Stegostoma tigrinum: one gene and its partners. The protein of the gene in region 2 interacts with the protein of the main gene of each other region in a pairwise test. Links are inferred from orthologs where the notes say so. Each region holds a gene or a part of one and is shown on either strand. Other genes may lie near its edges.

Evidence for each region.
Region 1: the proteins of pde4dip (region 2) and ccdc146 interact in binary tests that used the Homo sapiens proteins (3 or more experiments, as listed by UniProt). The two-hybrid records come from large-scale screens. The link is inferred for Stegostoma tigrinum from reciprocal best matches to the Homo sapiens genes PDE4DIP and CCDC146.
Region 3: the proteins of pde4dip (region 2) and alpha-synuclein-like interact in a two-hybrid assay, tested with the Homo sapiens proteins (2 studies listed by BioGRID and IntAct). The link is inferred for Stegostoma tigrinum from reciprocal best matches to the Homo sapiens genes PDE4DIP and SNCA.
Region 4: the proteins of pde4dip (region 2) and airim interact in binary tests that used the Homo sapiens proteins (3 or more experiments, as listed by UniProt). The two-hybrid records come from large-scale screens. The link is inferred for Stegostoma tigrinum from reciprocal best matches to the Homo sapiens genes PDE4DIP and AIRIM.

What each region holds. Positions count from the first base shown.
Region 1 is NC_081378.1:24,325,341-24,332,740, reverse strand, and holds the start of ccdc146 (coiled-coil domain-containing protein 146), read right to left. Parts: upstream 3,164-7,400; 5' UTR 2,713-3,163; intron 1,977-2,712; exon of another isoform or gene 1,912-1,976; intron 1-1,911. Other genes in the region: protein FAM185A, read left to right, coding at 3,777-4,302. UniProt on the Homo sapiens protein: Essential for sperm flagellum biogenesis and male fertility.
Region 2 is NC_081361.1:47,556,820-47,564,672, reverse strand, and holds the start of pde4dip (myomegalin), read right to left. Parts: upstream 3,136-7,853; 5' UTR 1,569-3,135; coding exon 396-1,568; intron 1-395. UniProt on the Homo sapiens protein: Functions as an anchor sequestering components of the cAMP-dependent pathway to Golgi and/or centrosomes.
Region 3 is NC_081354.1:9,864,330-9,871,923, forward strand, and holds the start of alpha-synuclein-like, read left to right. Parts: upstream 1-4,428; 5' UTR 4,429-4,648; intron 4,649-4,759; 5' UTR 4,760-4,775; coding exon 4,776-4,896; intron 4,897-6,007; coding exon 6,008-6,049; intron 6,050-7,594. UniProt on the Homo sapiens protein: Neuronal protein that plays several roles in synaptic activity such as regulation of synaptic vesicle trafficking and subsequent neurotransmitter release.
Region 4 is NC_081377.1:9,424,266-9,432,378, reverse strand, and holds the start of airim (AFG2-interacting ribosome maturation factor), read right to left. Parts: upstream 3,048-8,113; 5' UTR 2,946-3,047; intron 2,940-2,945; exon of another isoform or gene 2,752-2,939; intron 410-2,751; 5' UTR 391-409; coding exon 119-390; intron 1-118. UniProt on the Homo sapiens protein: Part of the 55LCC heterohexameric ATPase complex which is chromatin-associated and promotes replisome proteostasis to maintain replication fork progression and genome stability.

The DNA of each region.
Region 1 (7,400 bases), on a different chromosome or scaffold from region 2:
CTGAATCGTTACAGCCTTGGTCCAAACATGGGCAAAATAACAGAACTCCAGAGGTGAGTTGAGACTGCCAACATCAATGCAGTATTTGACTGATTATGCATCAATAAGCCCTGGCAAACTAGAGTCAATGGGAACTAAGGGGTTGAATCTACATTGGTTGAAGTCATATTCAAGCACGAAGGAAGATAGCTGTGGTTCTTGGAGGTCAAACCATCTCAACCACATGACATCACTGCTGGAGTTGCCTAAGGTAGTGTTCTTGCCTCAGTCATCTTCAGCTGGAGATGTTTATTGACAATTGCATAATGTTCAACAACATTCGCAACTCTTCAACTATTGAATATGTCCATGTACATTCAAAAGCAGCAAAACCTGAGCAACATCCAGTTTTGGGCTGATAAGAGGCAAGTTATATTTTTGCCCAGTATTACATCTCCAGTAAGAGAATTCAACCATCCGCCCTTGACATTTAATAGCATTGGATTCCCTCCGGTGAGGAAACAGGCCCTTCAGTCAAACAAGTTCACACCGCCCCTTGAAGCATCCCACCCAGACCCATCCCCCTATAACCCACACACCCCTGAACACTACGGGCCATTTTGCATGGCCAATCCACCTAGCCTACACATCTTTGGACTGTGGGAGGAAACTGGAGCACCCAGAGGAAACCCACGCAGACATGGGGAGAATGTGCAAACTCCACACATACAATCACCCGAGGCTGGAATCGAACCTGGGTCCCTGGTGCTATGAGGCTGCAGTGCTAACCGCTGAGCCACTGTGCCACCCTTAGCATCACTGAAAACCACAAACAACATCTTGGAGATCACTATTGACCAGAAATTGAACTAGGCTAGCTATGTTAGTACTGTGGCTACAACAGCAAGTCCAAGGCTTAGAACACTGCAAACAAAAACTGAAAGAACTGTGGATGCTGTAAATCAGGAAAAAACAACACAGAAGTTAATGGAAAAGCCCAGTGGTTCTGGTAGCATCTATGAAGTAAAAGGGGGCATTTAAACAGTCCTTGGATAAGCATATGGATGATGATGGGATAGTGTAGTGGGAGGGGCTTAGATTAGTTCACAGGTCGGCGCAACATCAAGGGCCAAAGGGACTGTTCTGCGCTGTATTGTTCTATGTTCTAAGAGTCAGAGTTAACATTTTGGGTCTGTTCTGAAGAAGGGCCACCAGACCCAAAAGTTAACTGATTTTTCTTAACAGACACTGCCAGACCAACTCAGCTTTTCCTGCAACTTCTGCTTCTGAGCTTAGAAATCTGCATTGGGTAATTCACCTCTTGATTCCATAAAGGAGGTGAGTGAGCAAAGGGTCGGGATAGGATGGTGGTTCAATGTGCCAGGGTACTGTGGTAATTATACACAGGGCAAGGGAAGGTGATCAATGCACACAGGGCAGGGAAGACGTCAGTGCATACATGGCAGGGGAGAGGTCATTGCAGACAGGGCAGGAGGAGATCAGTACACACATGGCAGGGGAGGGGTGTCAATATAGACTGGGCTTTGAGGGGGGGTAGGTGTGGTCAGAATACATATTGGGGGTTGATGCAGACATGGCAAGGGCAGAGGTGGTCAGTGAACACAGGGCAGGGGAAGTGGTCAGTGCACACAGGTCGGCGGTGCGGACATTGCACAGAGCGCGGAGGTTGTCAGTTTACACAGGACGTGGGGTGGTCAGTGCACATAGGCCAGGGGATGGTCAGTGTAGACAAGGCCGTGAGTGGGATAGGAGTGGTCAGTCCACATGGGGCGGGTGCACACTTGGTGATGGTGTGGGTCAGAACATCAACACTAGAGTTTGTGGATTAAAGCTGTAATCGGTGCCTTTCTGGTATTTTTGTTTTTCTGTTCTGCGCCGTCTAGATTTGAAGCCCTCGCCTTTGAGATGTACCTGAGGAGCTGCTGACACTCTCCGGGATCCTCTTCCAGTTTGTGGTCAACAAGCGTCATCTCCATAGCAACCATACACACAGTTAGTTCGCACCCAGCCATTGGGCAACATGGGATTCATCTGGACCAATAGCAAAGCTACTAAAATAAATCCCGGAAACCCGGAAAGGCCCAACAATAAGAGATAACAAGGCGTCGAGATGGATGAACACGGCAGGTCAGGCAGCATCAGAGGAGCAGGAAAGGTCCAAACCCGAAACGTCAGCCTTCCTGCTCCTCTGATGCTGGCTGACCTGCTGTGTTCATCAGCTCTATGCCTTGTTAACCTCAGATTCTCCAGCATCTGCATTTCCTACTATCTCAAAGTCCAACAATAAACTCATTTCCCTCATGCAATGCAGACTAATTGTTAATACGACTTAGATACTACGAACGCATTTCCTTTATTTATATTTGTGCAGCCTTAAATCTCTCACCAACTGTCCTTCAAGTTATACAAAAGAAATCCGCTGAACCCAGTTGTGAACCAAGGTAGACAAATAGGAGGCTGTCAAAACACAGCAAGCTAGGCAACATAACTTGGAAAGGAGAAGGCGACATTTCGGGAATTAGAGATAACAAAGTGTGGAGCTGGATGAACAGCAGGACTGCCTTTGGCATGAACCCTTCGGCAGATCTACATCAGAAGACATTTCGCGAAAAATCGCTTATTTTGTAAAAATTTCTTTGAATGACATCAACAATTGGGGTACAGTGGTAAAGCTTCTCCTTTTGAATTAGAAGATCCGGGTTCAAGTCCCACCTGCTCCAGAGCCGTGTTATTCACGTATCTGAACAGGTGCATTCCTGCGACAAAAACAGAAATTGTTAGCGAAATTCAGCAGGTCTGACAGCATCTGTTCACCAGAGAGTTAACTCTGCTTTCTCCACACGGTTGCTACCAGCTTGAGAATTTTGCCAGCGACTTCTTCTTTCAGATCTATGGCGTCCTGAGTTCTTTGTTTTATTGTGCGCATGACAGACAGTTGCACATCTGCCAATGTGGTATACTGCATCCACTGTACCCGGTGTGGCTTCCTCTACATTGGGGAAACCAAGCGGAGGCTTGGGGACCGCTTTGCAGAACACCTCCGCTCGGTTCGCAACAAACAACTGCACCTCCCAGTCGCAAACCATTTCCACTCCCCCTCCCATTCTTTAGACGACATGTCCATCATGGACCTCCTGCAGTGCCACAATGATGCCACCCGAAGGTTGCAGGAACAGCAACTCATATTCCGCTTGGGAACCCTGCAGCCCAATGGTATCAATGTGGACTTCACCAGCTTCAAAATCTCCCCTTCCCCCACCGCATCCCTAAACCAGCCCAGTTCGCCCTCTCCCCCCACTGCACCACACAATCAGCCCAGCTCTTCCCCTCCACCCACTGCATCCCAAAACCAGTCCAACCCGTCTCTGCCTCCCTAACCTGTTCTTCCTCCCAACCCAAGCCGCACCCCCATCTCCTACCTACTAACCTCATCCCACCTCCTTGACCTGTCCGTCTTCCCTGGACTGACGAATCCCCTCCCTACCTCCCCACCTATACTCTCCTCTCCACCCATCTTCTTCTCTCTCCATCTTCAGTCCGCCTCCCCCTCTCTCCCTATTTATTCCAGTTCCCTCTCCCACTCCCCCTCTCTGATGAAGGGTCTAGGCCCGAAACGTCAGCTTTTGTGCTCCTGAGATGCTGCTGGACCTGCTGCGTTCATCCAGCCTCACATTTTATTATCTTAGTTGCTCTTCGTTGCTCGCTGCAATGCTTGGACAGCTGCAACCGTTTGTACTGCATTGTGGGAATTGTAGTTCGCAATCGTCCGGTTAAAGATGCGTGCGCGGACTTCAACTCCCGACAGCACTTTCTCCTCTACCCATAACAACAGAAAGTTGGCGTTGTGGTTTTCTCCTGAGCCGTGGAGGATCCGGTATTCTGTCCCTGGTTTCGGCTCCGGCATGACTTCCTTCCCTCTGTTTTTCCGCCGAGGCTGGTCAGCGCTTTTGCCGAGGGAATGCGGCCCGTCTTTTGCCCGTCTGCGGCCTTGGAGGTCGGTGTCGGGCACCCGCTGCCTGGACTCCCGGCACAAGGGTAGCGCCTTGAAACGCTGGACTCTGCTGGTAGATCCTTTCGGCTCTTTAAAGGTGCGCCTGCCCTGCGATGTGTCGGTGAAGCCGCTGGACCCGCACGGCTACCCGTCGGCTGACCGCGCTTTCGTCGAACTCATTTCCCCAAACCAAGGGGAGAATATGGACGATGTTCTGGTGAAGTACGACAAGGCTCTGAAACAGATGGTGGTGACTTCTGAAAAAATCAGCGGCGATACTCGCATCGATTTGGTCACTCCGGTAAAGTTTGGTAAGTGCATTTTGTGAAACTGAACCCTGTTTTCGTTTTGGAGGTAGTAGGAACTGCCGATGCTGGAGAATCTGAAATAACACGCTGTGAGGCTGGATGAACACAGCAGGCCAAGCAGCATCAAAGGAGCTGGAAAGCTTGAAAGAAGAAGGGTCCCGACCCGAAACGTCAAGCTTTCCTGCTCCCCTGATGCTGCTTGGCCTGCTGTGTTCATCCAGCCTCACATCGTGTTAGTGATAATGGGAACTGCAGATGCTGGAGAATCCAAGATAATAAAATGTGAGGCTGGATGAACACAGCAGGCCCAGCAGCATCTCAGGAGCACAAAAGCTGACGTTTCGGGCCTAGACCCTTCATCAGAGAGGGGGATGGGGTGAGGGTTCTGGAATAAATAGGGAGAGAGGGGGAGGCGGACCGAAGATGGAGAGAAAAGAAGATAGGTGGAGAGGAGAGTATAAGTGGGGAGGTAGGGAGGGGATAGGTCAGTCCAGGGAAGACGGACAGGTCAAGGAGGTGGGATGAGGTTAGTAGGGAGGAGATGGAGGTGCAGCTTGGGGTGGGAGGAAGGGATGGGTGAGAGGAAGAACAGGTTAGGGAGGCAGAGACAGGTTGGACTGGTTTTGGGATGCAGTGGGTGGAGGGGAAAAGCTGGGCTGGTTATGTGGTGCAGTGGGGGGAGGGGACGAACTGGGCTGGTTTTGGGATGCAGCGGGGGAAGCGGAGATTTTGAAGCTGGTGAAGTCCACATTGATGCCATTGGGCTGCAGGGTTCCCAAGCAGAATATGAGTTGCTGTTCCTGCAATAAGCAATGGTTCGCAATAAGCAACTGCACCTCCCAGTCGCAAACCATTTCCACTCCCCCTCCCATTCTTTAGATGACGTACATCATGGGCCTCCTGCAGTGCCACAATGATGCCACCCAAAGGTTGCAGGAACAGCAACTCATATTCCGCTTGGGAACCCTGCAGCCCAATGGCATCAATGTGGACTTCACCAGCTTCAAAATCTCCCCTTTCCCCCACCGCATCCCAAAACCAGCCCAGTTCGTCTCCTCCCCCCACTGCACCACACAACCAGCCCAGCTCTTCCCCTCCACCCAGTGCATCCCAAAACCAGCCCAGCCTGTCTCTGCCTCCCTAACCTGTTCTTCCTCTCACCCATCCCTTCCTCCCACCCCAAGCCGCACCTCCATTTCCTACCTACTAACCTCATCCCACCTCCTTGACCTGTCCGTCTTCCCTGGACTGACTATCCCCTCCTTACCTCCCCACCTATACTCTCCTCTCCACCTATCTTGTTTCCTCTCCATCTTCGGTCTGCCTCCCCATCTCTCCCTATTTATTCCAGAACCCTCACCCCATCCCCCTCTCTGATGAAGGGTCTAGGCCCGAAACGTCAGCTTTTGTGCTCCTGAGATGCTGCTGGGCCTGCTGTGTTCATCCAGCCTCACATTTTATTATCTCACATCGTGTTATCCCCGTTTTTGTTTTGAAGGGTGCCAGTCTTTTCAGCGAAACCCTAGTAGTTTGAGATCCAAAAGAGATCGTGATGCCCGGAGCATAAAAACAATTTGGATCCGGGCATGTTTCCTTTGCTGCTTCTGTAAATCTGCTAATTGTTTCCATGTGTTTAAAACAGTGGTGTACCTGTCGTCGTTTTTAGTGGCTTTTGGAAGTTACCATGGATATTTTGGAACCAATATAAAAAGGCCATGGAAATAATGGGAAATTATCTACATGTTGCACTGTCAGTACCCATTCTAAGGGGATCCCAAGTTAATTAAATACTTACTGCTGTTTTATGTAGAGTGCATGCAACATACACACGCTTAGTTCAGCAGGGGACGAATGCTTTAGCATTAGACTCATTTATGAGAATCACTTTACTGACTGTTTTGCTTCAGAGTTTCAGCATTTTTTGGGGGTGGGGGGGAGGTTTATGTGCTTGAGCTGCTGGAGTTAGTTTTGAGCATGTGATCAGGCTTAGATCGTTACGAAATAGGAACAGGAGCAGGCTGTTTGGCCCATCAAACATGATCCGTCTTTCAATATATTTATAGCAGATCCAGTATTCCTCACGTCCGCTTTCCTGCTCTTTCCCCATAACCCTTGATTCCCCGATTTTTTTTTTTTTTTTTTTTTTTGATCAAGAATCTATCTTAGCCTTAAATATTCACAAGAACTCTGCCCCACAGCTGTCTGTGACAAGACCCAGATGACACAGCAGTTGCATCTATGAGGAGGAGGAAAAAGTCTTTTGTCAATTTTTGTTTGTTGTTTTTGTGTGTGTTTATTTATGTCCTTAGAAGTTTGTGTGAAATAAGATAGTTTATATGGGTGGCTTGTAAGGATAGGTAAAAAGTAGTTGTTATGCAACTTTTAATTTGTCTGTGGAATTAGAGTTTTGATTGACTTACTACGTCCTTCAAGGTATACTTAGGCAAAATTATCTCTCATATGAAAATAGTTTAATGTTGTAAGGCCATAAATTATGAGTAGGAGTAAACCACTTGGTCCCTTTGACCCTACAACACCATTTATGGCTTATGACCAATTTATGGTGTTAACCCCAATTTCCTATCTGTTCCCATAATCTGTAAATTTTTTTGATGCATCAAAGAGTTATCTAACTTGGATTTGAATATATTCAATGAGCCTGCCTCCCCTGCTCCCTGTGGAAGACAATTACAAAGACTTATGACCCATCAAGAGAAGAAATTCCTTCTCATTCGTCTTGAGAGGCCCCTCCTTTTGAAATTGTCCCCAGTTCTAGACAGATTCCCTGAAAGGAAACCTCTTCCCTGCACCTCTGAGAAGTCCCCTCAGAATCTTATTTCAATAAGACAAACCTTGCTTTCTTCTAAACTGTAATGAATACAGTCTCAATCTTTATGTATAAAACAACCATTTTCAAATCACTAATCCATCCACAGTTCTCTGAACTATATATCCCCTTTTAATGGTAAGAGGTTGATAAAGTTGATGACAGGGAAGTTGTAAATCTTCTTCCAAATTATCATCTTTCCTCATTCCAATTCACCCTAAGCTCTTCTGGGCCCAGATGAGGTTTTTTGTTCTATTAGTACTATAGAGAAGCT
Region 2 (7,853 bases):
CTGTAAGTCAGAAACAAACAGAAAATGCTGGATAAACTCAGCAGATCTGGCAGCATCTGGAGAGAGAGAGGGGGGGGGGAGAGAGAGAGAGCGAGAGAGAGTGAGAGAGAGATTTAACGTTTCAGATCCAATGACTCCTCACTCTGACTGGACTTGAAATGTTAACTCTGTTTCTCTCACCACAGATGCTGCCACACCTGCTGATAACTTTTCTAGCATTTTGTGTTTATTTATGCTGGGCTGGGGGGTTGGGTCATTAAATAAAAAAAGCTCAGCAACTATTTTAAAATATTACACCGAGATTTGTCCGATGGCTCTGTTGCTTCTAAGTGTTAATCTGGGTCAGAAGAATATTGGGAAGATAACAAATTAGATAGTAGTCACAATTCAAATACCTGGGTGCAAATTGGAATATATTCATCAAGGACGTCCTGAAAGAGTTCCTCAAGATCTGCCACATCATCAAAGTTAAGGTGCATCCTGAGAGGATCTATGCCTTTGTTAACAATTTCACAAGCATTGTTCTGTAAATGAGACCTGGAAGTCCCATCCAAAGTACCACTTGATTGAGAGCCCAATGGAGAAGGCCTGACTGGAACTGGCAGTTTGCTGCCTTTTGGGATCGGTACAGGCCTATATTCAACATTCTTCACCAAGCCAAGGACAAAGTCTAGTTTTTGTCTATACAACAAAGGATGGGTTCCTTGACCATCTGAAAAGTCTGATTTGGGACTTCTGTCATCTTTGGCACATTTTTCTACTTGTGCTGCTTCATTGGTCTGCCCAGAGCAAGACTCCACCGTAGGACCAAGTGATTCAACAGAAGAGGCTGGAGATATTTTATCCAGTGAGTCAGCATAGACAGAAGTCCTAGACTCACACTGCCCAACAGGCACCGTTTCACATATGACTGGCATTGCAAGTCCTTCCTCAGCAGTTGTGCTGCCCACCACACTACTTCCACACTTAATGGAATGATCAGAAGAAACAGTCTTCGCCAACTTGCGAGGTAGTCTGCAAACTGCCTCATAATCTGCATCAGTCACACGCAAGGCTGAACAGCTGCGACACTTCCGGGATTTGTAGCTTGAGGTGTCTGAAGTCTGGCAACTGTGAGTTTCCATGGCTTCCTCACCTTGCTCTGTCCATGATTCAAATCCAGAATATACAAAGTCATCCTGTAGCAGTGCATGATACCGAACATCAGGTAGGTTGGAGCTCCCCACTGCAACATCCTCCCCCTTGGTGTCAGTACTTGGCTCCTCATTATTTTTACGATATAGACTAGCTATGCAGTACTTGATACGATCTTTCTCTACGAGTAACTTCTGCAAACGCTCAATGGACAGTGCCTCAATCCTTGCAATAACTGTATCAAATTTGTAGATACGGTCTAACATAAATGCACATTTGCTGCAAGCAAACTCTGCCTTGCCATCTCGAGATACCTCTTTTTCCAGTACGTGAGATAGGATAACCTGTAGGTTTAGTCTGGAAGCTGTGTGAAAGATCCATCGTCGTTGGTTACCACACAGTTCCCGGGCACAGATCCTACAAACCTCCTTCATTCTCCAGCATGTAGTTGACTGAACACTGAAGTAGCTAAAATAAACACACACAAAAAACAACCAGCCAATGTGTTTAAATATGAAGAGAAATGTCACAAACTTAGTTCACGTGGGCTTTGACCTTGGGTTCTGGAGAATAATTAAAAAGCTAGCTGGTTTGTATCGATAAATAGGTAAAGTTTCAGCAGCAAAGCTTCAAACAACCGGGCCAGCAGGAAGCCAATCAAAATCCGTGCTTGTAAGCAAGCCACCAAATGTACACAGGCTCCTGTGCACTGCCGTTGCATCCCACATTAATGTTGGGCTGTAAGTTATTCAGGGTTTTTAAAAAAAATGACAGGCGTTATCTGGAGGCATTTCAGGGCGTAGGTCGGCGGCGTCACTTCCAATCTCGGTATTATATTAACGCTTTTACAAATGATGTTCCATAAGCATAAATACCCTGCAATAAATTATTAATTCAAAATCGGTATCCTATATAATTGAGTGTTCCCTCATTTTCTTTGTCTCCAGTTTAAAGGCAATCCTGGTTAAATTTAACGCAATTACAGGTGAATGAAGAAGTGGGCGGCGGTTCCTACGTTTCAGAGAAACAGTATCTTTCTCCGAGAAATTTCGGCCAAGGGTATCTGTTCACGAGCAATGCCAGTAAGAGTTCATTGCATCGTGTCGCCGAATGAATACCAGCCCGTTTTATTCTCGAGTCGTTTGAGAAACATCTGCATCTCGCTGGGCACGCTGACTACCCAAGGTATGATATTAATTCGGCCAGAGAGAGAAAGAAAAAAAAAAATCACCAGTCACCAGCCCGTCGTCATCTTCGCTGCTCTCAGTCAGTGGTGGTGGAGAGCGAGTAGTTTCATATCGGAGGCTGAAGGCACTGCGCATTGAATATCAAACAAAGGCACCAGAGGCCGATTAACGGGAGCAGACTGAAAGAGAGAGATTCTGCGTAAAATTAATTAAATCACGTCCCGTTAGGTGGCTTTCCCGGATGCGATGTCAGGGGGGACGGGAAACTGCTGCTTTGTAATTATCCAACCCGGCAGTGATGTGGCAACAATGTCGCCGAGTCTGACTTTCTGTTTCGGGCAGACATCTGGGAGAAACCACCCGTTACCTGGGGAGAAGCCGCTACATTCTGCCTCTCTCCAGCTCAATGCCCAATCACGTACTGTACTGCGACCGACAACAAAGTAACCGCATTCAATCAGGCACAATTCCGGGAGGTAACCCACCGGAAAAAAACCTCCAAAGGCGAAGAGGAAGGACCGATCAACCCTTGCGCGCACCCGTCTGCATCGTGGTACGGTTCTCCGCCCCGGCAGCCCGTCTACATCTGGAGGAATATTATCTTTCTCAGAGATAAATTTTCTGAAGAAGGGTCTAGGCCAGAAACTTCAGCCATCCTGCTCTTCTGATGCTGCTTGGCCTGCTGTGTTCTTCCAGCTCTGCACTTGTCTCATATCTTTCTCCGGCTCGGTTTCCCATGTCGGGGGGAAGACTCTAACCAAGACCCGGCTCCCTACTCACGAACGAACTCCCATCCCACACGCACGCACGGAAAATCGGACAGAAAAATTTGTTTCCGCATGTTGTGAATAAGGGGTTAAATGTTGTGAAAACACCGCGGGTTTCGACAACCTGGCTTGATAATTTTGTATCGGAAAATATTTTTTGCATTTATCTTGAAAGATAGTTTTGTGCGAGGTTGGCGGGCATTGTGGTAAACTCCCCGCTGCAGTCACGAAAAATACAACTGATCCCTTGTCTCGTACTCTTTTTCAAAATAAAATCTGTAAGCCATGAATGACCTGGGTGCTTCAAGTCCTGGTTTAAAATCGGGAGGTTCAGAGCAGTGTCAGAAATGTTCTAGTAATCCATAGAAAAAAAACCCAATACATTTGATTGTTCCATGCCGTTCTGACCTTAAGTTGGGAATGCTTAAGAAAAAGAAAACGCTTTATTACGGTCTCTTGCAGGATCTTGTACCCTACAGCCAAAAATACGTTTTGAATGATCACCGAAAATGCTGGAGAAACTCAGCAAGCCTGGCAGCATGTGTGCAGCTAGAAGCAAAAGTTAATGTTTCGAGTCCAGCATAAGTCTTCAGAATTCAGACGATGCCTCTGGCATTTTCTATGTTTGTTTCAGATTTATTGCACCAGTAGTATTTTGCGCAAAACATATCTGACACGCAGTTATTAGCATCAGACAATTTGCACAGGCTAGACCCCACAAACAGCAGAAAAGTAGATAACCAGATAATTGGAGATATTGGTTGAAGGACAAATATGAGCTAGGTCACCTTACACGCACTGATTCTAATAGTGATCATGACAAACATATGCACAAATCCATTGACTTTTTTTGGCTTCTTCCCTCTCACCGTAACCCCCTGTTCACTTTTGATGTTTTGCATTGCCCTTCATAGGCTTTATATTTAAATATTTAATTGGCTACCCAAATGATTTACTGGTGGTGGTTAAAAAAGGGGAAAAAAAAATCAGTGATTTTGGTGATGGGAAAGTTGCATGTGATAGCACTTGTGTATGTACAAAAAAAAGCAGGAACACAGTAGGCCATTTAGCCAATTAGTTCTTTCCTGCTATTCAGGAGACCATGATTGATCTTATTGAGGCTTCAACTCTATCTACCTGCTCCTCCCCATAAAACTTTCCACATCCTTGATGTACCATATGATTTTTTAAAAATTCCTTTGATGGTGCAGATGGGGCCTTGGTTAAAGGATTGTCTAAGAAGCAAAAAAATCCTAGCCATACTTAAATAAATTGACATTTTAGGACTAAATTTTCTCTGCTAAAATGGGTAGCTGAATTGGGGGATTTCCGAATTAACTGATTTGTCTCATTAGAAAGGAGCTTAAATCTCACGATCAATACTCTGGTGGGGTATCTGGAAAGATGAGATAGACCAGTACCTACTGACCTAAGAAGCTTGCTGGCCATGATGGCAGGCTGTTTTTTTTTCAGAAAGCCTACCTCATTTCTTTATCTCAGTAGTGTTATAAAAGATGTAATGCACTCATGTCTTAAGCCCATCCATTCCTCATTATCCTCTCATCCAACCAACCTACGCCATGAGCATTCAGCTGTGCTGACAGATTTCTTACACCTGTTCTTATTACGGATCCTTGGCTCAAAACTCAGACCCAAAAGAATTATCTTGGTAGGGGCTTCTGTTTTGACAAATGAAGAAAATTCTTAATTTTCCTCGACTGACATCTTTAAGTGGTTATAACAAGTTCTGGGATCTCATGTCAATGTCACAATTTTTTTTTGCCCAAGAATAAATGTGTGAAGTGTCTGAAGCCTGTCATGAACATTTTTAATAATTTTGATTGAGCCTTTTTCATTGGGTTGTATGGATGATTTCATTTTTCAAAAGGTGATTTGTGAATGGATGAGTAGTTTTCTGAACAGGTCCAACAACATTACTGTTACTGTACAGATCAGTGGTTCTGTTCTGTGCAGGTAGTGATTTGAAGGGAACATGAACAGGAATGGGAGGGGCTTGGAAAATACATGAAAGACTTTTTGAAATTATTTTTCAAAACATTCTAATTATGGTTCACAGCTGTTCTGAGGGGCCACGAACCATGAGCAATCCAGAAGCTGACCAGACTCCTTGAAAATTGTGGGAGGCTAAGAGAATGCTTCCACAAATACAGCATGCCAGCTTGGAAGTGCACATTGTGAGCTAGCCAGCATCATCCTTGCATCAATCCATCAAAATTTGGAATACTAGGAATAGAGGCAGGAATCAAATTCCACCCACTATTTTTCAATGACACTGAAGATTTTCTAATTCTAGAAAATTAGGTGAACTTTTAACAGATGAGCTTGTATCCATGACTGTCTACCTCAAAGTAAAGTGTACTATTGCTAAACCAAAAACCTAGTGACCAGAGATCTTGATGAATGTTCTAGATTGAATACTTTATTTGTATATGAATGGAGGGCTGGGGAGTTATATGAAAGGTAGGGGAGAATCTAGACCAGAACTATGGAGAAAATAAAACATACTAACTCAAGATATTGTCTGGCCTGGCTAACAATCCCACATTCTGTGAATGAATAAAAAGAATACTGCAGTGGGAAAAGTGTGGAAAAAAAATGCTCTAAGTATAGTTCACCTCTTAATCAAGTCAAGTAGTTACAATGAATTGGTTACCTTTTGCACTGTTCACAAAACAGTAAATAAAATGTTGACAGCATCTTCAGGAAACATCAAGGTTTCTTTTCAAAAACAAAGTTGCTGGAAAAGCTCAGCAGGTCTGGCAGCGTCTGTGGAGGAGAAAATAGAGTTAATGTTTCAGGTCTGGTGACCCTTCCTCAGAACTGTTCCGAAAAGTTCTGAGGAAGGGTCACCGGATCCAAAATGTTAACTCTGTTTTCTCCTTCACAGATGCTGCCAGACCTGCTGAGCTTTTCCAGCAACTTTGTTTTTGTTCCTGATTTACAGCATCCGCAGTTCTTTTCGTTTTTAATCAAGGTTCATTTTGACAAGGCACAGAACAAAGAATTGTGCTGATAGTCATAGGTGGCAATGATAGTTTTGCACAGAAGCTGAATGATATGGTGTAACTATTGGAAGATAGCCATTGGCCTAACCTCTCAATTCTGATTATTGTATATTTTGATTGTCTCAGAAATGATGCCAGTTGTGAGACAAACAGAAAAAAAATGCTATCACCATTACTGACTTTGCACATAGTGAAGAAGTGAAAGAGCAGGTTTATGTAGACATAGATCATGCATTTAGCACCAACTGATTATAAATGAAATTTCAATGTATAGATTGGTAGAAATATCAGCAGTTTTACATAAGTGCCAACTTTACTCAATGGTCATATCTGCACTTAATTTTTAGCATATTAAAAAGGTATTACATTAAGGGCACTGGATATGAAAACAGGTAAAATGGACTGGCAAATTAGGTTAAGAAGTCTGTCAATAGATTACCAATGACAGACCTTTAAGTGGATATAATAAGGAATACTGAATGATTACATTCCACTGAGAGAGAAAAAAAATCTAGAGGAAGGACCTGCCACTCCATCTTAACTAGAAAAGTTAAAGATACTGTTAAACTTAAAGAAAACACATAAAATTGTATAAAGATGGGTGGCAATTAAAAAATTACTCAGAACATAAAAGGCAGAGAAGGACAAATATACAATAACAGTGGAAAATAAGAGTAAGAGAGAAAGCTAGTTGGAAATAAAAGAACTGATCATAGGAGCTTTCATTAGCTTTATTCTTTTGTAAAATAAAAGTGAGTGGGGTTCTGTCAAACAAAGTCTGGGGAAGATAAGGAGATGATTGATAAATTGAAGATTTGGCATTTTGTATCAGTTTTCACAACAGAAGACACAAGTATCATTCCAGGAATAGCTGTAAGTCAGGAAATAGAAAGGAAGGAGGAGCTCAAAAATAAAAGATAGATTCATCACAGAAGAGATGCTGAGGAAATTGCTGGAGTTGCGGACTGACAAATCCATGTGTCCTGATAGACTTTATGCCAGGGTCTGAAAAGTAATGATTAAGGAGTTCAAGCATTAGTTCTAATTATTTAAAACTCCCTTGATTTGGGGGAAGGATCCTATAGATTGGAAGTAGTGGGTTTAACTGCTTTATTCAAAAAGGGAGGGAAAAAGAAAGAAAGCAGGAAACTACTGACCAATTAGCTTTGTGCGATCATAGGAACAGGATTAGGCCACTTAGCCCCTCAAGCCTGTTCCACCATTATTTTATAACCTCTGTGGAAGGAAAATGCTAGAACCTATTAATTAAGAAATTGTAGCCGGGCACTTGAGAACATGAATGCAATCAGGCAGAATAACATGGTTTATGAAAGGAAATCATGCTTAACCAATTGAGCAACTTGTGCTGGGGATAAAGGGGAACTGCTGAACGTAATGTAGTGATGGCATGTTACAAAGTCTCTAAAATGTATTTAAAATGTGTTTTATATGTAAATAGTTTGGTTTTTTCTATTTCATCTTCATTAGTTTTGCAAAATAAACTCCTGCTTTATTATTTAAAACAAATCTGCAGCATCACATATTTTCAGTGAACAACCACCTCATTAAAGGCAAAAATAAAATCCATCAAGCCAAATTCTAACTTGTTATTGATTACATTAATTGGATCATTAACATTTCACTATCATTTAGGCCACTCTCACTTAGCCAGCTCTCTTGTCTGATCAGATAACAGTGTGGAGTTGGACAGGCCAGGCAGCATCAGAGTGGCAGAAAAG
Region 3 (7,594 bases), on a different chromosome or scaffold from region 2:
GGACTTATTATTCAACTTGCCACTTATACTTTTGTATGATCTGTTGATCTCTCTGCCCATAAATTATGTGTTCTGCACACTTCTCTGTCACTTCACTTGGTGAAGGGCAGCCCTCCCAAAGCTTGTGATTTCAAATAAACCTGTTGGACTATAACCTGGTGTCATGTGACTTCTGACTTTGTCCTCCCCAGTCCAATACCTGCACGTCCATGTCATATAAAGTTCAGGTAGGTGTGATAGTCCTGAATAAGCACCTGGTGGACCACATGAAAATTACAAACTTGCAAACAGTGGAGTGGGAAAATGTGCTCAGCTCCTCAACAGCTTTTCTGACTGTTCCAGGATCTGTGGGTTCTCCCTCTCCATCAAGCATTGAATAATACCTTGGAATCTGAGTGGGACATGGTGGATGAGGGGCTGTTAATTTTGTCCAATCAGGAAGTGTGGGCTGACAGGCATAAACAGGAGTGTCAGACATAATAGGAAGTGCAGACGCTGGAGAATCTGAGATCACAAGGTGTGGAGCTGGACGTCCTTGCCACTGATCTAGCTCCCACTGAGCCAGATCTCAGAGTGAGCAGGATGTCTGACACTCTGAGATCACAAGGTGTGGAGCCAGATGAACACAGCAGGCCAAGCAGCACCTTAGGAGCTGGAACGCTGACGTTTCGGGCCTAGACCCTTCATCAGAAATGGGGGAGGGGAAGAGGGTTCTGAAATAAATAGGGAGAGAGGGGGAGGCAGATTAAAGGTGGATAGAGGAGAAGATAGGTGGAGAGGAGAGTATAGGTGGGGAGGTGATAGGTCAGTCCGGGGAGGATGGACAGGTCAAGGAGGCGGGATGAGGTTAGTAGGTGGGAAATGGAGGTGGGAGGAGGGGATTGGTGAGAGAAAGAACAGGTTAGGGAGGCGGGGACGAGTTTGGCTGGTTTTGGGATGCAGTGGGGGGAGGGGATGAGCTGGGCTGATTTTGGAATGCAGTGAGGGGAGGGGAGATTTTGAAGCTTGTGAAGTCCATACTGATACCATTGGGCTGCAGGGTTCCCAAGCGAAATATGAGAACTGATCCTGTAACCTTCGGGTGGCATCATTGTGGCACTGCAGGAGGCCCAGGATGGACATGTCATCTAAAGAATGGGAGGGGGAGCTGAAATGGTTCGCGACCGGGAGGTGCAGCTGTTTATTGTGAACCGAGCGTAGGTGTTCTGCAAAGCGGCCCCCAAGCCTCTGCTTCATTTCCCCGATGTAGAGGAGGCCACCATGGGAAGAGCGGATGCAGTATACCACATTGCCAGATGTGCAAGTGAACCTCTACTTGATGTGGAAAGTCTTCTTGGGGCCTGGGATGGGGGTGAGGGAGGAGGTGTGGGGGCAGGTGTAGCACTTGCTGCAGTTGCAGGGGAAGGTGCCGGGTGTGGTGGGGCTGCAGGGGAGTGTGGAGTGGACAAGGGAGTCACAGAGAGAGTGGTCCCTCCAGAAAGCAGACAAGTGTGGGAAGGGAAAATTGTCTTTGTTGTTGGGTTCGGTTTGCAGATGGCAGAAGTGTCGGAGGATGATGCGTTGGATCCGGAGGTTGATGGGGTGGTATGTGAGGAAGAGGAGGATTCTCTTTTGTTTGTTATTGCGGGGACGGGGTGTGAGGGATGAGTTATGGGAAATGCGGGAGACATGGCTGAGGGCGTTCTTGACCACAATAGGGCGGAAGTTGCAGTCCTTGAAAAACGAGGACATCTGAAATGTGCGGGAGTGGAATGCCTCATCCTGGAAGCAGAGGCGGTGGAAGCGAAGGAACTGTGGAGAGGGGATGGCATTTTTGCAGGAAGGTGGGTGCGAGGAAGTGTATAGGTAATTGTGGGAGTCAGTGGGCTTGAAATGGATGTCGGTTTCTAGGTGCTTGCCTGAGATGGAAACAGAGAGGTCCAGGAAGGTGAGGGAGGTGTAAGAGATAGTCCAGGTGAACTTGAGGTTGGGATGGAAGGTGTTGGTGAAGTGGATGAACTGTTCAAACGCCTTGTGGGAACACGAGGTGGCACCGATACAGTCATCAATGCAACAGAGGAGGAGGTGGGCTTTAGGGCCAGCGTAGGTGCGGAAGAGGGACTGTTCCACGTAACCTAAAAATAGGCAGGCGTAGCTTGGGCCCATGTGGGTACCCATGGCCACCCCCTTTGTCTGTAGGAAATGGGATGAATTGAAAGAGAAGTTGTTGAGGGTGAGGGTGAGGACGAGTTCGACTAAGCAGATGAGGGTGTCATTGGAGGGAGACTGGTCGGGCCTGCGGGACAATAAGAAGCAGAGGGCCTTTAGGTCATCTGTATGAGGACTGCTGGTGTTTAGGGTCCGGACGTCCACAGTAAAAATGAGGTGTTGGGGACTGGGGAATTGGAAGTTCTGGAGGAAGTGTAAGGCGTGGGTGGTGTCACGGACGTAGTTGGGGAGTACCTGGACCAAAGGGGAGAAAATGGAGTCCAGATAGGTGGAGATGATTTTGGTGGGGCAGGAGCAGGCTGAGACAATGGTTCGACCAGCGGAGGCAGGTTTGTGAATTTTGGGAAGGAGATAGAAGCGGGTGGTGCGGGGTTGGGTAACAATGAGATTGTTCACTCTCACTCCCATCCCCAGATCCCAAGAAGACTTTCCACATCAAGTAGAGGTTCACTTGCACATGTGCTAGTGTGGTATACTGCATCCGCTGTTCCCGTTGTGGCCTCCTCTACATTGGGGAAATGAAGCAGAGGCTTGGGGACCGCTTTGCAGAACACCTCCGCTCGGTTCGCAACAAACAGCTGCACCTCCCGGTTGCAAACCATTTCAACTCGCAATCCCATTCTTCAGATGACATGTCCATCCTGGGGCGCCTGCAGTGCCACAATGATGCCACCTGAAGGTTGCAGGGACAGCAGCTCATATTCCGCTTGGGAATCCTGCAGCCCAATGGTATCAATGTAGATTTCACAAGCTTCAAAATCTCCCCTGCCCTCACCGCATCCCAAAACCAGCCAAACTCATCCCCGCCTCCCTAACCTGTTCTTCCTCTCACCCATCCCCTCCTCCCACCGCAAGCCGCACGCTCATTTCCTACTTACTAACCTCATCCCGCCCCCTTGATCTGTCCGTCCTCCTGGACTGACCTGTCTCCTCCCTACCTACTCACTTCTACTGGCTCCACTCCTGCCTCTTTAACTTGCCTGTCTCCTCTCCACCTGTCTTCTCTATCCATCTTTGATCTGCCTCTCCCTCTCTTCCTATTTATTTCAGAACACCCTTCCCCTCCCCCATTTCTGATGAAGGGTCTAGGCCCGAAACGTCAGCATTCCAGCTTCTAAGGTGCTGCTTAGCCTGCTATGTTCATCCGGCTCCACACCTTGTGATCTCGGAGTGCCAGACATCCTGCTCACTCTGAGATCTGGCTCTTTGGGACCCAGATCGGTGGCATGGGCATGTAAATAAAGGATGGCTTGGTGATGGGATACTGGCTTTGTGGACTTAATGCATTCATGACAATCGTTTGAAAGATTTGTTGAGGCAATGTTCCATTGTTGAACTGTCACATCCACAGTCCCTCAGATATTGACACAGAAAATATTGAAGAAAGAATTTCCTCAGCAAATGTTAATGCAATTATTTGAATCCCTCACAGGCTTAGTTTGAAGATTTGTTTTTTTCATAAGAGGACAATCAGCATCTTATTTTACACAGATTTTGTTTTTCATTGCATGGTATTAAAAATTGATTCAATGTGACTCGCGACTATTTCTTTCTGCTCTATTTAGCATTTACACTTCCCCCAGATGGCAAAAGTCATCAGATTTTCTGAGGCTTCTCTGCATGACTTTGCACTCAATACGCTAAGAAAAGTATAACATTATTATTGAAATATTGCTGAAACACAATTGTTGGAGGGTTTTTCTCTTTACTGCTGTCAACACAACATCACTTAATCTGGCATCAGAAACAAATGAAACAAGCAATTAATTCAGAATCTCAAATTTTCATTTTCATTTGTCTGTTTACTGTCGTCAAGAAATTACATTGGATTAAATTCTTAAAAGCATTTACAGAAATAGAGAGGAGGGAGAGGTGGTAGTTTTTTTTACACATATATACTATATTAATAGCAAACGTACCAGTCACTACAAAAAAAGGGTAACGTGTTCAACATATATTGCTGTGCATTTCTCCATCTGAAAGATTTAAAATACTGCAGGGCTAGTCTTCGGCACATGGCAACAGAAGAATAATTTCCACAGGCGAGACAGATCCAAGATGATGAAGCATTCCTTTCGATTGAAGTTGATGTGTTTTATATAAATGTTGCAGCCGAGGGCGAAGAGGAGGGAAGGTGGGGGCCGAATGTCCCCACGGGTGGTGGGAGGTGGGTTGGAACCGAGAGATGAAAGCCCTTCACAACCACAAATCAGGAGGCACGTCTGCTTTCCTCGAATGAGGACGCAGTGGGGAAGAAGCTGGGCTGCTCAGTTGGAGTCAGAACCAATCTGTTCAAACACCAGGCGCTGGAGCTTTCGGTGGTTTCAGCTCTGGGCTGCGTTTAGCTCAACCATCCTAAACCAAACCTTGATGCTGCAGTGATGTACTGAACAGCTGGGGGAATTATTTTTTTTTCTCTCTCCGATAAACAAATCAAACGGTAAACTTGAACGTCGTGTCGGTGTTTGTGGTTCTCAGATTTTAGGTGGTTTAAGTCACTGTAGAGGCTTACTTATTGTGTGATCTCTGTGTCTCTCTCTCTTTCGCCTAGTGACCAAAGAGTAACCATGGACGTTTTCATGAAAGGGCTGTCCAAGGCGAAGGATGGGGTAGTAGCTGCTGCCGAGAAAACGAAGCAGGGAGTGGCAGAGGCGGCGGGAAAAACGAAGGATGGGGTGCTGTATGTGGGTAGGTAGAAAATTAATGCTTCACATGGCTGTCTTTTCAGACAAGAAATGGCACGGGGTAAAAACACACACAACTCCATTCACCCAATCTTACACCTTTGGGGGGATGGGGGTGGGATGTGTAAGAAACACGGAGGAATAATAGAAAGCTTTCCTTTTATTCTCTGGTAAGAACGGTGTGTGGGGTGATTTGTCAGACGGGGAGGAAGGATAGCTGCCACTTCCAAATCCGAAATATGGAAGTTGCAGAGAAGCAGAGCATCAAGTGTTTTGGCACCGGGAGGGAGGGAGATTTCTTTGTATATGTTTTTTAAAAAAAATCCAGAACTAATCCAGTGCAGATTTGTAAAACGTAAACCGTCGGGTGCTGAAAAGGAATTATTTTCCAACAAATTTAGAACGAATGTAACATTGGATGTGTGTGTGTTAAATTCGATGAGCGGGAAGGTTGCGGTCAAGGTCATTTCGTTGCTGAATTCTGAAGACCTTTTCTGCTGTGTGCACTGAGTTGGGGACATTGACACGTGTCAATGGTAAGGCCAATGTAATTTATTTCCTGCAGCTTGAAATTTAAGGACTTAAACCCGAATTTGATCTATTTTCCTTTAAATTTGAGGTTTTTAATGTTTTCCACGGGCACCCCCCCCCCCCCCCATGTCTGTCTTGCACTAATTTCGGAACTGTCATCATTATTATTATCTATGTTGTTGAAGCAATTTGTTTGACATAACACACCTCAGGCGCAGGTGGGATTTGAACCTGCTGGCAGGCTGTCATTTCTCCAGCGGTCCAGCTAGAGGGAGGAGAGAAGATGCGAGGGTGAGGATGGGGAAGGTACAAGGTCCCGGGGAAGTGGAACAATGGCGTGCTTAACCCCTGCCTAACAAGCAGCTCCCTGTTATTTCCAGATCCCGTGGCTCTTCCCCGGCTGACCAACCCGTTGTCAGTTTTTCCTGCTTTCGTTGATGCTAGCCTTTAACACCTCTCCACGCCTTGGCTGCTTAATTTTGACCTGAGCCTGGGGAAAGAGGATTTGCTGCTGTGATTTGTGACAATTTATTAATAGGGGTTTTTATTTATTTTTACTTCTTCTTTAATGTATTTATCTCTAGGCTCCAGGACCAAGGAAGGTGTATTTCATGGCGTATCTTCAGGTATCAATAATCAATAGAATTCTGTAATGTTATGTGTGTGCTAGTCTCTTTGTCTATATGTGTGGGTCTGTTTCTAAGTACAGAATTAGGAGCACAGAAAGAGGGCATTCTGCCTTCCATCATCTTCTGCTTTCCAGTTAGATCATGCCTGACCTTTAAATTAGTTTACTTCTGTAATCCTGAATATTCCTGCTGTTAAAAATCTTATCTTGGTTTTGAAATTTTCAATTAAGTCACAGCCTCAAATGTTTTTGGAGGAGGAAGTTCCAGATTTGCAATCCACTTTGTATGAGGAATTACTTCTTGACATCACCCCAAATTGGCCTGGTTCAAATTTTAATCTGTATTCTGCTTCTCCACCACCCCCCCCCCCCCACTCCCCGCCGCATCCCTGAGAAACTAGTCAGTCTCTCTGTCTCTTTCCTATCTACTCCTTTGATCGTCTCAAATCATAATTAGAACAGCTTTCATCTCAAGGAAATACAAAGCAAGTATTTGCAAACTTTCCTCAAAAGTTAACTGTTAATCCCAATATGTACAATGGGTCAGACTGACCTGTAGAATAGGTTTGAGCTTTTCTTTGATGCAACATATGAGAGAAGAAACAGCCACGTTGACTGTTACAGTGAGTATAGCGGGAGTATCTTGTACTACTGGCTTTCTGAGTAGTGAGTGTAGTTTCACCACCAGGCTTCGTGTTTAATGCCATTTCCTGTCTGTCTGTACTGTTGGCAGAACCTCCAGTATTACGTTGGTTTGCTACTGTGACCCACATGAAGCTTAAAAGTTGCCAGGCCGTATGGACTGTTTCTGTGTGAAAAATTTCTATTTAATACAAGCCATCATTGAGACTGAAAATGTTAGACGACCTAGATCAAGGTATGGTAATGTTGAGGCTTTAAACAGCAAGAGTGCAGTGTTCAGACATCAATATAGCTTGGCTCTACGGAGCTTGTGTGGATCCAGATATTCACTCATACTTAAAATCACACCTTATCTTGTGTTTAACTACTTATGTTTTCTGTATTCAAAGGCTGAGTTAATTCCTTTACGCATGTATAAACAAACGAGGGCAAGTTGGTGAAAGGCAACATCAAGAAATAGCTCTTCAGACCAAGAGAAATTAACTTGTTTGATTTGGTTTTTCAGATGGTGGCCAGAATCAAAAGTTGCAGACTTATTAGAAAGCTAATTGGATGCTGAGACTGTAGACGATTGGGAAATGATGAGTTCCGTGAGGTTGCCTCACCTGTGCAAACCTGTGGTCCTTTGTAACAGAATTATTTGGAGTACTGTTCTGTAAAGGTGGAGCATCTGATATTTCCACATGTAGCAACTTTCTATGTGACTGCTACCACTTGCTAGAGCTGTTGAAAATGGAAAAATGACCATGTGTATAAGTGCTGATAGATGCCAAACATGCATCTACCTTTGAGTAACATTTTAATTCGTCTCTGATCACTTTCCTAAAGATTTTTAATTTGACTCTTGCTCCTCTTGTTCCCTCATGGTGCAGTCCCAAAGGCTATAAGACCATAAGACATA
Region 4 (8,113 bases), on a different chromosome or scaffold from region 2:
ATTTAGTGCCAAGTGTAGCCTGACTTTAACAATAAACGACTCGATGGTTGTACAAATAAGTGTCAGGAGACAGTACTTCAGGCTTAATTATCAATAGATGAGCGATGCTGGAACCTACATTTTCTCACCAAGGCTTTCCAAATTGATTTCGATAGCCCGAGTGAGTTTGTATTTCAGACGGCACTGCAAATCAGGGAACACTCGAAAGGGGGTATTCATAAACACAACTTTGTTGCACGCTTGCAGTTGCTCTGCCAAGTTACTCAGCGAACTCAGGATTGGGATACATTCCGTCAGTGTACTTGCCCACAAATTTTGTTGCTGCTCAATAACATGGAAACATTTCTCCAAAACTTGATGAACAGCCAGCAAGGCTTGTCTCTGAGCCATGACTTTCTGCTACAATAACCTAAAAAGAAAATCACAAGCAAATGAATCCAATTGACAAGAAAAATATCCAGTGAAGTACAAATATCCAAAGAAATAAAAAAGGTAAAGCAAGTGTTTGATTTGTGGAAGTGATTAGACTATTAAGAGATTTTTTTTTAAATATATGACTTAGCAAACAATGTTCTTTAAAACTGCAGGTATTTAAACAAAAACACTCTGAAAATATCTGGTCATTCTTACAATTAAATTTCATATTAGCTTTATCTTGATCTTGGGCTCTAATTTTTTCCCTCCTTGTCAACCTTTGAACAGAATATAAAACCAGTACAGAATGACAATCTTCTGACCTGTACAATTATCTCCCTATAAAACTGATGCTATATTTATTTTTTCCCTTAATTACCATGGTTACCACAATAACCAGGAGATTGGTACTGAGTAAATTCTTGGAGCTGTAGGCTGGCAGATCCCCGGGTCCACACGGACTTCATCCTATAACCTTAAGTGAAGTGACTTGTGAGATGGGTGCTTTTAATTTTCCAAAATTTCCTCAATTTGGAGAAAATAGAGGCAAGGTGGAGTAGTCATGTCACTAGACTATTAATGGGGGACATGGAATCAAACATGGGTTTGAATCCCTCATGGCAGATGGTGAAACCTCAATAAAAAGCTAGCTAGTGGTGGCCATGTAATCACCACTGTTAAAATAAATCTGGTTCATTCATGTACTTTATGGAAGATAATCTCTCTCTCTGGTCTGACATAAATGTGACTTCAGACTGTCAGAAATGTGGTTGACTCTTCTGTGCTCTCTGGGCAGTAAATGTCATCTGGGCAATGCCACATCCTGCACATGGATCAAAGGAGTTTTGTTACACCGGAAGAAAGTGAAAATGGCACAATTCTTTTCAAATCAGACTTAAAGCAGGAACTCAGCCATAACCAGATGTTAAAAGCTACTGTCAAAGACAAAAGCACTTTGAAAAAATTCAAGTTAATCTCATAGAATCAACATAGCTTTGTTAAGGGAGAGTTAATTTTTTTAAAGGGTTCATAAAACCAACAACTGAACCAGCATCCACTGCTGTTTGTGGAACAGTGTTCCAAACATCTACCAGCTTGTGTGCAGACGTGCTTCCTAACATCTCTCCTGAATTGTCTGGCCCTAATTCTCAAACTGTGTCCCCTAGTTTGAGGATTCCCAACCAGTGAAAATAGTTTATCCATCTTTTCTTTTCCTGTTACATCATTTTTGTTTAAATCATGAAGACTACCTATTTCAGCCCCTGCTTGTTTTGAAAATGTCAACCATGTTTTCCAGACCAGAATATTTCATGCCTCTCATCCTTTTTAGTCTTGAGCTCATCCAAAACCCTGTTATCTGTATCCTAATTTCCAACAAAATGTTGTTGTACCCACACACTATTGCAGTTATTGTGTTTGCTGATCTGCATTTGCTTCCAAATCTCAGTAGGTTGAAGCATAAAGTGTTTAAATTCCTCAATCCCTTCCTAAAAAAAGATGTTGCCTGCAGATGTGGAATTCCTCCTTCAACTGACCCCTTCAACTTAAAACCCAATTCTGAATTTTAAGTTTCTTATTAATTTCAAAAATACACTTTATTCATTAAAAATATCTTGTGTATTATAAATAAATATAATACACACAGTACTGATCTGTGCAGTAGCATATCAAGAAAACAAACAGAAGTTGATTCTATCCAATCAAACCAAAGACATCTTTTTGAGTTTTAAGTCTTCCACGTAAACTTGTCCCTTCCGTAACTCAAGTGAGAATTTCTGATTACAATCTTGCGTGGTACTGACCAAAAATAACACCTCTATCCCAGTGACATTTACATAAGTAGTTAACAGCATGATGGTCCACAATTGAGAACAGATACTGGCCAGTTCACCAGAGACCACACTCTCTGGAAATGGCGCCTATGGGATTTGTTAGGGGCATCTGAGCAGGCATGTGGGACCTCCGATTAATATCTCACATGGGCGATGGAATCACTGTGCTCCTGTGAACTGACCGCCTTGAGGCGGCCTCATGGAAGCAATGGAAATGAACTACAACATGTCGGCAACAAAGCCCCATGAAAAAGCCTCCTCACAGAACGTTGCTGCTGACACTTTTCGAAGAATGTGCTGGAGAAGGGTCAGCCGACCCACAGCGTTAACCCCAGTTTCGTTCTCCACATATATGCTGACTGGCCTGCGGAGATTCCTCCAACAACACAGCAGGCCAAGCAGGATTTAGGAGCGAGAAAGTTGACGTTTCAGGCCTAGGCCCGAAACGTCAGCTTTTGTGCTCCTGAGATGCTGCTTGGCCTGCTGTGTTCATCCAGCTCCGCACCTTGTTATCTCGGATTCTCCAGCATCTGCAGTTCCTACTGTCTCTTCCTCCAACAATTTCTGCTTTCGGTTCAAGTTTTCAGAGGCGCGGTGGGCGAGAGTGACGCCGCGAGGAGCTCGACCAGTTAAGCGATTCAACACGCCCAAACGGGTGAGAAAAATAAAATAATACCCCGGCCCGACCAACGTACTCACATGTCAACGGCAGCGAGAGAAACTCCACAGCACTTTAATACCAAACGTCCCTACCACACGCCTTTATCCGCGCCTGCGCACATCTCACCCAACCACCAGGACTACAACCCCCATGATGCTCCGCGCGCAGTAAAAATTTTTTGGTATCCATCTCGCAAGAATATGAATATTACTGAGAAGACACAGACACACTTGGTTATTTTCGTGCTCTGTTCCTCCTTGGAGTTTAAAAATGATTTAGTTGCTGCAAGTTGAATTTTGGACGGTTGCTCTGTGAAGTGACATCCCACCATGATGGGCGATTGGATAGGTTTTGGGCCAGCCACGCTGCGATTGGGCATATCCTGGACAGTTCGTGCTGTGAATGGCTGATATCTGGGATAGCTGTGCTGCGATTGGCTGTGTCCTGGACAGGCCTTGCTGTGATTGGTTGATACCTGGCGCAGTTGTGCTATGATTGGTTGGACACGGTGAAGCAATCTGCCCCGGCCCACCGACGTCATGCTACCGTTAAAAAAGCACACCCAATGTCTCTGAGGTAACGAAGTGTGGAGTTGGATGAGTACAGCAGGCTAAGTAGCGTCTCAGGAGCACAAAAGCTTTGCCCTGTTGTGTTCGTCCAGCTCCACACTTTGTTATCTTGGATTCTCCAGCATCTGCAGTTCCCATTATCCCTGACACCCAATGTCTCTACTTCCTCAGAAGGCTAAGAAAATTTGGCATGGCCACAATGAGTCTTACCAATTTGTATAGATGCACCATAGAAAGCATCCTATCTGGACACATCACAGCTATCTTTTCAAATCAGAACTGGCACTCATGTATTACTTTATCTTTCTCACCCGCTTGGGCGTGTTGAATCGCTTAACTGGTCGAGCTCCTCGCGGAGTCACTCTGGCGTACCGTGCCCCCCTCGAGCCTCTGAAATGCCTCTGATGAAGGGTCTAGGCCCAAAACGTCAGCTTTTGTGCTCCTGGGATGCTGCTGGGCCTACTATGTTCATCCAGCCTCAGATTTTATTATCTCATGTATTGTACAGTTATTTTGTAACAATGCCTTAAACCAGTGTCATGTGAATCATTTCTGAAGAAGGGTCCAGACCGGAATCGTCAGCTTGTCCGGTCCTCTGATGCTGCCTGGCCTGCTGTGTGCATCCAGCTTTACACAGTGTTGTCTCCTGTGGATTGTCCTTGTTTACATTTCATCAAAACACTAAATGGCTTTGAACACCATCATTACCTCAACCACCCTTTGTTAACCACCCATAATTGCAAAAATGATGGTGAAGTACCTTAATAAACCATTGCAGTCCATGTGGTGTAGTTACACCGACAGTGGAATTATGGAAAGAGTTCAAGAGTTTTGACCAAGTTACAGTGAAGAAGAGAGTGACCAATTATATCAATTTCAGGAAGCGGAATGGAGGCCATGCCCCTGTCTGTATCAATGATGCTGAGGTGGCAGCAGTCAAGATCTTCATGTTCCTAGGAATAAATACAACAATAACCTGCCCTGGTCCATTCATGTCATGCTACCATTCAGGAAGAACACCAATGCCTCATCTTCCTCAGAAGGCTAAGAAAATTTGGCATATCCACAATGATTCTTATCAATTTTTATAGATGCACCATAGAAAGCATCGTATTTGGATGCATCACAGCTTGGTATGACAACTGCTTTGGCCAAGACCACAAGAAATTAAAGACATTTGTGAACACAGCCCATCATGAAAATCAGCCCTCCTTCCATTATCTCCGTGTACACTTCTCATTTCCTCAGGAAAGCAGCCAGTATAATCAAATACCCCTGCCATCTTGGTTATATTCTCTTCCACCCTCTTCCATTGGGAAGAAGATACGAAAGTTTGAAAACACATACTCATATTTAAGAACAGCTTCTTCCCTGCTGTTGTCAAACTTGAGAAGAAACCTGTCATATATCAGAGTTGATCTTTCTCTGTGCGTTCTCTACAGCTGTAACACTATGTTCTGCATTCTGTTCTATTACCCTGATGTAGTTGTGTACAATATGACTTGTCTGGTTCGTACGTAATGCAATACTTTCACTATCTCGCTACGTTGACCAATAATAAATCAAATCAAATCAAGATAGTTTGGTAATCAGAGCTCCATGTTTAAAATTGGCTAAAAAGTAGACAGTTGTTTTCACTTTTACAGTTTGGATCTAGAATGCACAATGTGAAAGACTCGGTGAACTAAATTCCACAGGAGCTTTCTAAAGGCAATTGAATGCATATTTGTAAAGTAAAAATTTTATGCAGTGGAGGGTTGAACTTGCGAGTAGGAATAAAATGGGAAGTTTAGATTAAATGACCCTTTTATAGTATAATATTTTATGAAAAGTTGACACTGAGACACATAACGCATTAGTACAGATGTCTAACAAAACTGATCAAAGCAGTACATTTTAGAGACGCCTTCCAAGAGGTTAAATGTTGGAATATCTGTGCTTGGGACCAAGACAACTGATGACACAGTTGCTAAACTCCATCCAGCCTGTGCCATTCAATCCTTCCTTTTCAGAGGCGACTTCAGCTCGGCACTAGTCTATGACAAACTCTCCAACAAGTAAACACAGGGCTATGATCTTCTCTTAAAACTGGTGTTCAGACCATTTTCTGTTTGCTATATAAGCAAACTCATTTAGATCTTTCACTGATAAGCAGGTCCCTAAGGTTACCTATCATTCCCCAATCAAATGTTGCTCACTGGGACAGTGAGATTTTCCGCGCAGTTAATTACACTTTCTACACTTCTTTTGGCCAATTTGTCAAAATGCTTTGATCGGACATGCTCGTTTGAAGATGATTCAGTGTGTATTATGGGTAACAGTTACTATTTAGAAGAATTTGATTTGTTAAAAAGGCAACGTATGTGATTCTTTGAATCCCTTTTCCCATTTTATCTCCTTCCCCCTCCTCTTTTCTCAATTCTGTCCATCTACTTTCCTTCTATCAAATTAACAGCCCAGCAATAATACCATTAGGCCATCATCTGCACTTATTAAAGGTCAAAAGTATAAAGCAACATTTCCCAACACCTTTCAGTTCTGCAGTTAGAATGATCATTCTGGACTTAAAATGCTAATCCTGTTTCTCCCTCCACTAATATTGCCAGATCTGCTGAGTTTCTTCATGATTTTGTGCTTGCTACGGTGAGGATGGATCTATTCTCACTCCAGAAGGGATTGAGATCAAGGCAAAGCAATTGACAAAAGACAGAAAGTGTGATTTCAGACAAAGCCAATTCCCATAGTATATGCATGGGATGCTATATGCACTGCTGGAGGAACAGCATTGATTGTTGTAGTCAGAAGGCTTATTCATTGGAAAGAAGCCGTAGATCAGCCGACTGATTGACTCTGGAGATAGTAGGAACTGCAGATGCTGCAGAATCTGAGACAACAAAGTGTCGAACTGGATGAACACAGCAGGTCAAGCAGCACCAGAGGAGCAGAAAAGCTGTCTTTTTAGGTCTAGACCCTTCTTCAGAAATGGGGGAGGGGAAGGGGATTCTGAAATAAGCAGGGAGAAAGGGGGAGGTGGATAGAAGATGGATGAAGGAGGAGATCGGTGGAGATGAGACAGATAAGTCAAGCTAGGGTTGGAGCCAGTAAAAGTGTATGTAGGTGGGGAGTTAGGGAGGGGATAGGTCGGTCCAGGGAGGACGGACAGGTCAAGGAGGTGGGAATGAGGCTGGTGGGTAGGAGATGGGGGCGGGGTTTGAGGTGGGTGGAGTGGATAGATGGGAGAACACGTTACGGAAGCGAGTACGAGCTGGGATGCTTTTGGAATGTGGTTGGGGGAGGGGAGATTTTGAAGCTTGTGAAGTCCACATTGATACCATTAGGCTGCAGGGTTCCCAAGCGGAATATGAGTTGCTGTTCCTGCAACCTTCGGGTGGCGTCATTGTGGCACTGCAGGAGGCCCAGGATGGACATGTCTAAAGAATGGGAGGGGGAGTTAAAATGGTTCACGACTGGGAGGTGCAGTTGTTTATTGCGAACCGAGTGAAGGTTTTTTTTGTTGAAGAAGGGTCTCGACCCGAAACGTCTAACTTTCCTGCTTCCCTGATGCCGCTTGCTCCGCTGTGTTCACCCAGCTCTACACCTGATTTTCTCAGATTCTCCAGCATTCGCAGTTCCTACTGTGGCTGTAGAGTGTGTACGTAGCCCGAGCTCTGATTGGCTGACGTTCGTTTCATGGGCGTGGAATAGCCTATGATTGGATGCGATGTGTTCGGCGGGTGTGGCCTGGGCTTTGATTGGCTGTCCGCGGGGGTTTGAAATTTAACTGTTGTCAGGGCGCGGAGCGCTGGAGCTGGAGCTGGAGCGGGAGCGGGATCTGACCGCCTGACTGACTGAGAGTGAGAGTTCGGGGTGAGTTGTGGCTCCGCCGGCTCGTCGTGAGCCGGAGTGTGCGATACGGAGTTGTGGGTCAGTCTGAACGGCCTTGGGCTGGCGGTGGTGGTACAGGAGCGGCTGAGAGGGGTCACTCCGGAAGGATTCACTCACTGCGGCTCGGCCCCCAGAGTGACACATGCCCCTGATCCTTGCAGAAGGAGAGAGAGGAGGGGAGGACATCGCCCCACTCATCGCCGCCCCCACCCCGATGGACACCTTTGTGTGTGTCCGTGTCCATGTCCATCCTTCGGGCACAAACACCGACTGTCACCGTCATTGAGGTTCTACCCCTCCCCGTTGGGGAAGGATGTTTATACCGGCATGACGTGGGTGGGGGGGAAGGGAAAGAAAGGGTTTGCAAGGAAGACGGAGAGCAGACCTGCTATGATCCACTCCAGGAAGTTCAACTTGTGATTGTGATTCCCACCTCTGCTGTCAGCATGACCCTCCAGTGCCTGGAAACATTGTTAGAGTTGGTAAGGTTCTTTCACAGGATTTGCAGTTGATGCAAATGTTTCCAGACCTCAAGTGGAAGGAAAGGGGGGGAACAAATTGCTGGAGGAAGGACTGGCTGTATCTGTGGAGAGGAAGCAGAGCATTTTGAGTCCAGTGAGCTGCCTTCAGAACATTTTAAGTGGAGGGGGTTCATGCTTCTCTGTAAAAGGTGTTATGTTTGAGAGAGTAAATACTGTATGTCACCTAAGGTAACATAGCTCCCAAAGATGCCCTGATTCTTCCTCACCTTT